Linked DNA regions of Rattus norvegicus. The main gene of each other region encodes a partner of the protein of the gene in region 2 in a complex. Links are inferred from orthologs where the notes say so. Each region holds a gene or a part of one and is shown on either strand. Other genes may lie near its edges. The genes, in order: Med20 and Med16.

Region 1 (3,806 bases), on a different chromosome or scaffold from region 2:
CTTTGGCTGCATGGTGGGAGACCTTGTCTCCAATAGATAATCAGTGATTAACAGTAATCAGCGATACACCATCAATTCCAGTCACTACAATTCCATGATACTGAGCGCAGTGTGGACTACCTAGAGTTATCACTTAAATGTTAACACATATGCCTTACACTTGGGGAGTGCTGGTGTGGGAAGCTCACTGCCCCAGGGTAAGACACTTGAGACCTGTGCTCTCTGCCTGTTAGAGGAACTCCTGGGCACTGCAGTAGGCCTCTTCCTTTCTCAGGTATGACGGTGGAGATCAGAGATGTCTAGAGTAACCCTGTCGATCTGTTACCTGTTGGGGAATTGAGTGGCTTAGCCAGGAGATATGTGTCTCCTCCGGACACTGCTGACTTGAGGTTCTGTTTTTCAGTGTGTCCCAGATGCCTGTGGCTGAGGGCAAGAGTGTCCAGCAGACAGTGGAGCTCCTCACCAAGAAATTGGAGATGCTTGGAGCAGAGAAACAAGGAACATTTTGTGTGGACTGTGAAACTTACCACACAGCTGCCTCCACCCTGGGCAGCCAAGGTCAGTAGATGGCTGTAAGCACATGGGTGGAACCTGGCTTAGAGTCCCTCCCATATTTATGTAAATGACATGTTGACTTTTCTGCCGAGGGTAGCAGTCTTGAACGAGGCAGGATGTGTTTGTGAGCTCATTCATTCTTGGTGGGTCTTTGACTATGGTGGTCAGTTTGCAGTTTGACCCTATTTGTGTGTGTGTGTGTGTGTGTGTGTGTGTGTGTGTGTGTGTGGACACGTACTTGTGCCCTTATATGTGGCTATATGCACAAAAGTATGGGTGCTTATGGAGGCTAGAGGTGTCCGATCCCCTGGAGCTGGAGTTACAGGTAGTTACCAGCTACCTGCTATGGGGAGCTGGGAAACTGAATTTGGGTTCGAGGCCAGCCTGGTCTAGAGACTGAGAACCTTTCTGAGGAAACAAAGATTGTACACAACAGGAAGCACTTCCTTCATTAAAGAATAGTGTTGGGGCTGAAGAGATAGCTCAGCAATTGAGAGCACTGGTTGGTCTTCCAGAAGGCCCGGGTTTGATTCCCAGCACCGACATGGCAGCTCACAGCCATTTGTGACTCTAGTTCTAGGGGATTCAATGCCCAGTGCCCACTATGGACCCCTGGTGTGCAGGTGGTGCACAGACATACATGAAAGCAAACCAGTTATACACATAAAAATAAAATATTAAAAATCAGTGTCCCAAGGGTTGTAGCTCAGTGGTAGAACACTTATGCAAGGCCTTGGGTTCAATCCCCAGCAATCCCCCTTCCTCCTCACAGTTCTTACCTGCTTTTGAAAAGTTTCAAGGCAGTGCAGCCTGATGTAGTATGATCCAGGTATGTAATTGCAGTGTGTAGCCCTGAGACAGAATAAGATCAGCTTCGAGGGCTGACATATTTCAAAGAGATGAATTGTCAAAGAGATGACAGGTGTGAATCGGCAGTGTGGACAGAAGGGATGGGAGCAGGAAGTTCAGTGTAGAGCCTGCTGGCAGCAGAGAGGCCAGCGCACTGCAGGGAAGGCACTGACCTGCTCCCCAATCCTCTTTCATTACCACACTTTTTACTTATATTTTATTGTGTTGTTTTTGAGACAGGTCTCACTCTGTAGCCCTGGCTCACTCTGGCTGTCCTGAAAGTCACTGTGTAGACCGGAGCAGCCTCACACTCACAGAGACCCGTCCGGAGTGCTGGAACAAGAGTGCGTCCTTGCTCCTGGCTTTGGTTTTATTTCTGTAGATGGTGCCTGTGGAGGTCAGAGGGGAACATAGGGTCCCTTGGAGCTGGCATTACAGGCACTTGTGGGCAGCGCAATGTGGCTGGTGGGTGCTGGGACCTGAACTCCATCTTCTGACAGAACAGGGAGTGAATGAGTGATCAGAGCCACTGAGCCATCTCACCAGCCCCTTGTTATGCCCCTTTGTTTGTTTCTTCCTTTTGGTTTTGTTTTTAGGACAGAGTTTCTCTGTGTACCCCCTGCTGTCCTGCAACTCTCTCTTTGTAGACTAGGCTGGCCTTGAACTCACAGAGGTCTGTCTGCCTTTGCCTCCCAAGTGCTGGGACTAAAGGTGTGTGCCACCACTGGCTGGCCCATGCTATGAGTGCCATCTTTCCTGCCCTGTCAGACAGACATTCTTCTGCATCCTCCTTCACGCCTGGTTTCTCCTTTCATCTTACGCTGACAACTTAGAGTTCTGGCCTTTCAGGTAATCACCCTTTAAAGTTTCATTTTGTAGGAGTTAGGTTTTTGTGAGAGATGTTTTGTGTAGCTCAGGCTAGTTTCGAACTCACCTTGAGTTTCTGATGCTCCTGCTCCCAGCTCTCTAGTGCTAGGATTATAGCCTACCACAGTCAGTTTATCTGGTGCTGGGGGTAGAACCCAGGTCTTTATGCGTGCTAGGCAGGGGCTGTCATCACCAGACCCTTTTTATTGATTTTGTGTTTATTTATGTGTATTACACATGTGCATGGTTGCTTTTGCCATGGCATGGGTATGGCGTTATAGATTCCAGCTTTCTGGAGTCTAAGCTCTCCTTTGCCCACGGGCCTCCCAGAGATCAGACCCAAGTCAGGCTTAGCAGCAGGCTCCTTTACCTGCTGCACTACCCCCTCATCACCTGCGCACGGATGGCGTTTGTTCTGTTTTGCTGTGGGTGTGAGAGCTTGTGCATGCCCACACCTGAAGGCTAGAAAAGGACATTGGATGTGTGATGGGTTCGCCTACGGCCCTCTGCCTGATTGACTGCCTTGAGGCAGGGTGTCTCACTGAACTGGAAACTTGCCATTTTGGATATCTGACTGGCCAGTGGACTGTTAGGGTCCACCCGCTTCTGTTCCCCAATGCTGGAATCATAGGCATATGTAGCTTCCAGGCTTTCTCCTGGGTTTGGGGGATTAGAATTTAGATCCTCACTGAGTTGTCTTCTCAGGGCCCGCTCCCATTTTTTAAAGTAGATGTCTGTTTATTTTTCTATATTTTTATTTCATATGTGTATGCATATATATATACCCTTATACGTGTGTATACAAATGTACCCTAACAAGGGAGTAGAGGTCAGAGGACAACTTGCAGAAGTTGAGGCTCTCTTTCCATCATATGGGTCCCAGAGATGGAACTTAGGTGGCCAGGCTTGGTGGCAAGAGCCTTAGCCTTACCTTGCCGGTCCTATTTTTTACTGTTTTCAGACAGGGTCTTATACAGCCCAGGCTGATCTCAGACTTGAGGCAGTTACACTGCGTGGGCCTTTGGAAAACTCTTGAGCTTCCATGCGGTGCTTCTTAGTTAGAGACCGGGTGTCCTTGGGAAGCTGTCCTCCATCCTCAACCTCAGTGTCCCCAGTGCTGGGTTACAGGCTTGCGCCGCCTTTGTCTTACATTGTAAGCTCCTGACTCTTTTTTTTTTTTTTTTTTTTTTAAGATTATATTCATTTGATGTATGTGAGTACACTGTCGCTGTCTTCAGACACACCAGAAGAGGGCATCAGATCCCATTACAGATGGTTGTGAGTCACTATGTGGGTGCTGGGAATTGAACTCAGGACCTCTGGAAGAGCAAGTAGTCAGTCCTCTTAACCTCTGGGTCATCTTTCCAGCCCCCTCCCCCCCCTTTTTTTAAAGAGTGTTCTTCTTTAAAAACATTTTTTTGGGTGCTTGCCACCAAGTCTGACAGCTTGAGTTTTATCCCAGAACCCACATAGTAGAAGGAGAAACAGACTTTCCCAAGTTCCTGCCTCTGAATCATATATGTGCTCCTGCTCCA
Region 2 (4,576 bases):
TGACCCCTCCAGGTTTCAGCTCTGAAGAGGGTGGCTGGTCCTCTCTAGGACTCTGCTGACCTCCCCAGGGCACTTTTGTTTTGTGTGTGTGTGTGTGTGTGTGTTTGCGCGCGCGCGCGTGTGTGTGTGTGTGTTTGCGCGTGTGTGTGAGAGTGCGTGCGAGCACATGTATGCACGCCATGTGCCCGTGAACCTGGACAAGCTTCGTCCCAAGGGCTCATTTTATGCTTTCTTTTTTGGTGACGTGTGTATTATGTCCCCAGCTCCCTGCCTGCCTTTCAGACGGTCCCCTCTCCTCCTCCTCCCTTACACCAGGGGTCCAGGACTTCCAGCCAGAAGCCTCTGACCTTGTGTACCCTGTCCCCCTCCTCTGTCCCCTCTGCTGCCTGGCGTAGCTGTGGTCACGCAGAGTCCTCCCTTCCCCTTCCGTGTGACTCTTTGTGCTTGGGGAAAGGGACACTTTTAATAAAGCCTTGGTGCTCGGGCCTGCTGTGTGCTTATTTTTGGGGTTGGTGGGGTGGGAGAGATGAGACTAGGTCACTGAGGCTGGAGATCTGGACGTGGAGGAACCTCAAGTCTTGATGCGTTAGTTCATTTTACAACATGTAAAATGCATAAAGATGGGTGCCAGGCTGGGGTTTGGTGGGGAAAGCATTGGCTACCATGCTCAAAGCCCTGGTCCCATCTCCAATACCACATAAACCGTTACATGTGACCAATGGGTCAAGTGAGTTTCAGGCCAGCCTGGGCCATATGGGACAGACAAGTCTGATGTTGGACACCTTCAATCCCAGCACTCAGGAGCCAGAGGCTGATGGATATCTGAGTGCAAGGTCTACATAGCCAGGGCCACACAGTGACCCTGCCTCATACAAACAAAAGCCACTTGAGGGCCAACAAAATGGCTAAGCGGGTTAAGGTGCTTGCTGGCAAGTTCAGCAATCTGAGGAAGGAAAGAACTAATTCCGGGTCCTTTGACCTGCACTGTGGCAGGCATGTCACCCCCACCCCCCACCCCCACCCCCACCCCCACCCCCACCCCCACCCCCACCCCCACCCCCACCCCCACCCCCACCCCCAACGGTGTAAGTAAGTCCATGGCCAGGTGATGCACTTCTGACACCCCAGCAGGTAGAAGCTGTTACAGGAGAACCTCATCAGTGGGAGGCCAACCTGAGCTACAATGAGCCCTTCTGTCGAGAAACAAAATGGGAAAAACGTGTGCGGGCCTTCGTAGGACGTTATGCTGTATGCCAGTTATGCTGTATGCCAGTTCCTCTGAGAGGGCAAAATATGGAACGCTTCACGAATTTGCGTGTCATCCTTGCGCAGGGGCCATGCTAATCTTCTCTGTATCGTTCCAATTTTAGTATATGTGCTGCCGAAGCGAGCACGAACTACGGGCTTACCCAAGACATATTTATAGGCTCAAAATTGAGCTACTTCGCACTTAGGGTGAGTTTTCTCTGAAGGAATAGTATTTGTCCTGCTTATATAGTTAAGCCTTTCTATAAGATCTAGCCAATCATTCGAAAGAACAGATTATTTGTCTTTTATCGCACGTGTAGCCTCAATAATTACTAGGAAATTATTATATGCAAATTAACCGGGGCAGGGGCGTAGTCCGGTTCCCAGAAGTCTGTTCGAGGGGGCCGGCGCGGGCCGAGAAATGGCGGCGCCGGATCCCGGGCGTTGGGGCGAGTGTGGACCGCGGCCGCCCGGTCGGCTGGGCGCCCGGGGCGGACAGGTCAGTGCGGAGTGCGGGGTATGGGACTCCTGGCTGGTGCATTTCTGGCTTGGCCCGCGAGCGGAAGGCCGAGGGGCGGGGCCTGCGGGGTCAGAGGGCGGGCCTGGGAACAAAGCTTGCTGGGTAGAGGCCGGTGAGGGGGAGATGTGATTAGGTTCCCCGCTTAAGGTGAAGCCTGAGGCAACTAGGCTGGGGAGGGGGCGTGGTCCGAGGGGCTGAGACTCCCTGGGAGGGGCGTGGCCTGAGGTTCCGAAGTTGAGCGAAGGGGCGGAGCCTGAAGCAATAAGTCTGATAGAGAAGGCGGTGGGCTAAGGAGCGGAGCCTAAGGTGGGTCGGGGTTAGGGACTGAAGATCTGAGACTGATGCAGAGGGGTTGGTGACCTGATAGTCACAAACTGAAGAGAAGCGGGGGATGAATAAAGTTAGTAGTTTTGTTTGGAAGCAGAGCCTAGTGTGATTAGATAGTGTGGGTGGAGCTTAACGAGCTTGGGCGGGACGCGGTGAAGCACGTGTGTTAAGCCTCAGGTGGGCCTTGGATGTTAACTTATTGCGAGTGGGACTAATGGGCTGGGACGCGGCCTGAGCTACTAGGTTCCGGGGCAAGTCTCTGGAGTGTAGACTGAGGCCCAGACTGAAGTGGTAGGAGTGGGCCTGGTTGTGTGTGTGAGGGTGCTTAGCACTTGTAGGCTGAGCTCACAGCGATCTGGGTGGGTGATAGGTGGCCTAGGGAGGGGTGACCTCAGGTGGGGCATCATGGAATTTCTAGCAGGGCTCGAGCTGGAGAACATTCTAGACCCACTTTAGCCGGGAGCTGCTATAGAGCATGCCTCCCTTCTCCCCAGGAGCCAGGGACGGTGCTGGGTGCGGTGGGTATGATGGACCTAGCCTATGTGTGCGAATGGGAGAAGTGGGCCAAGAGCACGTACTGCCCGTCGCTGCCCCTGGCCTGCGCCTGGTCCTGCAGGAACCTCATTGCCTTCACCACAGACCTACGCAATGATGACCAGGGTAAGTGCTAGTTCTGTTTCCCTGACTGGGACCTGGGGATTGAGACCAAGTGGGTGGGCTGTGATTTCCTCATACAATGGGTCCCGATTTGGTAGGTTCATGGTGGCAGAGCCAGGCTCTCCATTGCCAGCTACAGGGTTTAGAGAGGCCTGGGAAAGCAAGGTGGGAGAAGAGACATCCACACTTTGGTCACCATCCTCCAAATCTAGTGATAGTGCCTCTGGAGAGACACTGGCTGCACTGGATACCCTGTGTAGGGATTAGCAGCATGGGGGAGGGGTGTTATAGGAGAGGGGCAATGGGGGTGGGAATCATGGGCACTGTGGACCACACTGACCTCAGTGTTCTCTTTCCTGCAGACCTCACACACATGATTCATATCCTTGACACAGAACATCCCTGGGAAGTGCACTCTGTCAGCTCTGGCCACAGTGAGGCCATCACCTGCCTGGAATGGGACCAGTCAGGTGAGGCCATGAGGTTTGCTCTCAATCCAAAGCCCAGGACAGCATATGCCACCTTCCTCAGTCATCAGTCCTAAGTCTGGAGCCTGGGGACAGCCACTGCCCACTGGGAGTCCAGAGTGGGGAGGGGACACCGAGCAGTTTACCTGCCCATCAGAAGGGCTCCTGACACAGCTCTTTCATCACAGGGTCCCGGCTCCTGTCTGCCGATGCTGACGGGCAGATCAAATGTTGGAGCATGGCTGACCACCTGGCCAACAGCTGGGAGAGCTCCGTGGGCAGCCAGGTGGAAGGGGACCCCATCGTGGCTCTGTCCTGGCTGCATAACGGGGTGAAACTGGCACTGCACGTAGAGAAGGTGAGTGTACCACTGGGGGACCAAGGGGTACATGGAACGGAACCAGGGGCTGGCATGTGCTGTGAGTACCTGTGGGTTACTGCTGTCCCCGAGAGCCTCTAACCCTGAGCCTCCCTTTCAGCTATGGCCCCTGGACAGGGAGTCTGTTTAACAGATGTCTGCGTCTGCAGTGCTGTCTTACAAACATCCTCAGACCCCAGAATCCTCCTGTCTGTCTATATTCTGGAGTTCAGCCACTTAGGAGCGGGGACAGAGTTGGACTCTAAGTCCTTTTCCCTTAGTAAGGGAGGGGAAGTGGCAGCCTGTGGGTCAGGAAGCACAACCAAAATTCAGTTCCATGATTGCTACAGGTTTTTGGAGCCTAACGGCTTTCACATTGCCTCTCATCCCCAATTCTAGTACTTAGGAGGCAGACAGCTCTCTCTGAGCTCAAGACCAGCCTGGTCTACATATCCAGGTCCAGGGCAGCCAGGGCTACACAGTGATACTTGTTCTCCAAATTTAATGTAAGGGCTAGAGAGGTAGGTGGCTCAGTGGTAGGAGTACCAGCTGCTCCTGCAGAGGACCTGGGTACATTCCCAGCCCCTCCATGGCGACTCACAGCCATCTGTAACTCCAGCTCCAAGGGACTCCGTGGGCATAAGCTCTTTGCAACCTAGTCCTCTAGCCCAGCAGAGGCAGCGGAAGAGAAAAGCTGTTAGGCTATGGGGGAAGTGGACCTGATGAGCAGTAGCTCTTTGAGGGTGAGCTAGCAGTGGTTCAGTCCCGCAGCAAACACCAAATAGGACTTAGCAGGCAGACACCAGGCACGAACCAGCAGCTGTAGTTCAATCCTGAAGAAAAACACCAGGAACCTCAGGAGCAGTTCTTGGCTGACTTTCTCTCAGTGACAGCGTTACCACAGCATTGAGCTCAACGATGCCATGTAAGGTAAACTAATGCATGCGTGTCTTTAGTGAAGAATCGTGAGGCAGAGCAAATCAAACCACAGCTCAGTGC

What was found.
Region 1: Med16 (region 2) and Med20 share a complex: the UniProt entries of both Homo sapiens proteins name them as parts of the mediator complex. The link is inferred for Rattus norvegicus from reciprocal best matches to the Homo sapiens genes MED16 and MED20.

The regions. Positions count from the first base shown.
Region 1 is NC_086027.1:20,873,374-20,877,179, reverse strand, and holds part of Med20 (mediator of RNA polymerase II transcription subunit 20), read left to right. Parts: intron 1-403; coding exon 404-558; intron 559-3,806. UniProt on the Homo sapiens protein: Component of the Mediator complex, a coactivator involved in the regulated transcription of nearly all RNA polymerase II-dependent genes.
Region 2 is NC_086025.1:10,447,659-10,452,234, forward strand, and holds the start of Med16 (mediator of RNA polymerase II transcription subunit 16), read left to right. Parts: upstream 1-1,614; 5' UTR 1,615-1,669; coding exon 1,670-1,747; intron 1,748-1,929; exon of another isoform or gene 1,930-2,074; intron 2,075-2,513; exon of another isoform or gene 2,514-2,589; coding exon 2,590-2,755; intron 2,756-3,114; coding exon 3,115-3,222; intron 3,223-3,407; coding exon 3,408-3,577; intron 3,578-4,576. UniProt on the Homo sapiens protein: Component of the Mediator complex, a coactivator involved in the regulated transcription of nearly all RNA polymerase II-dependent genes.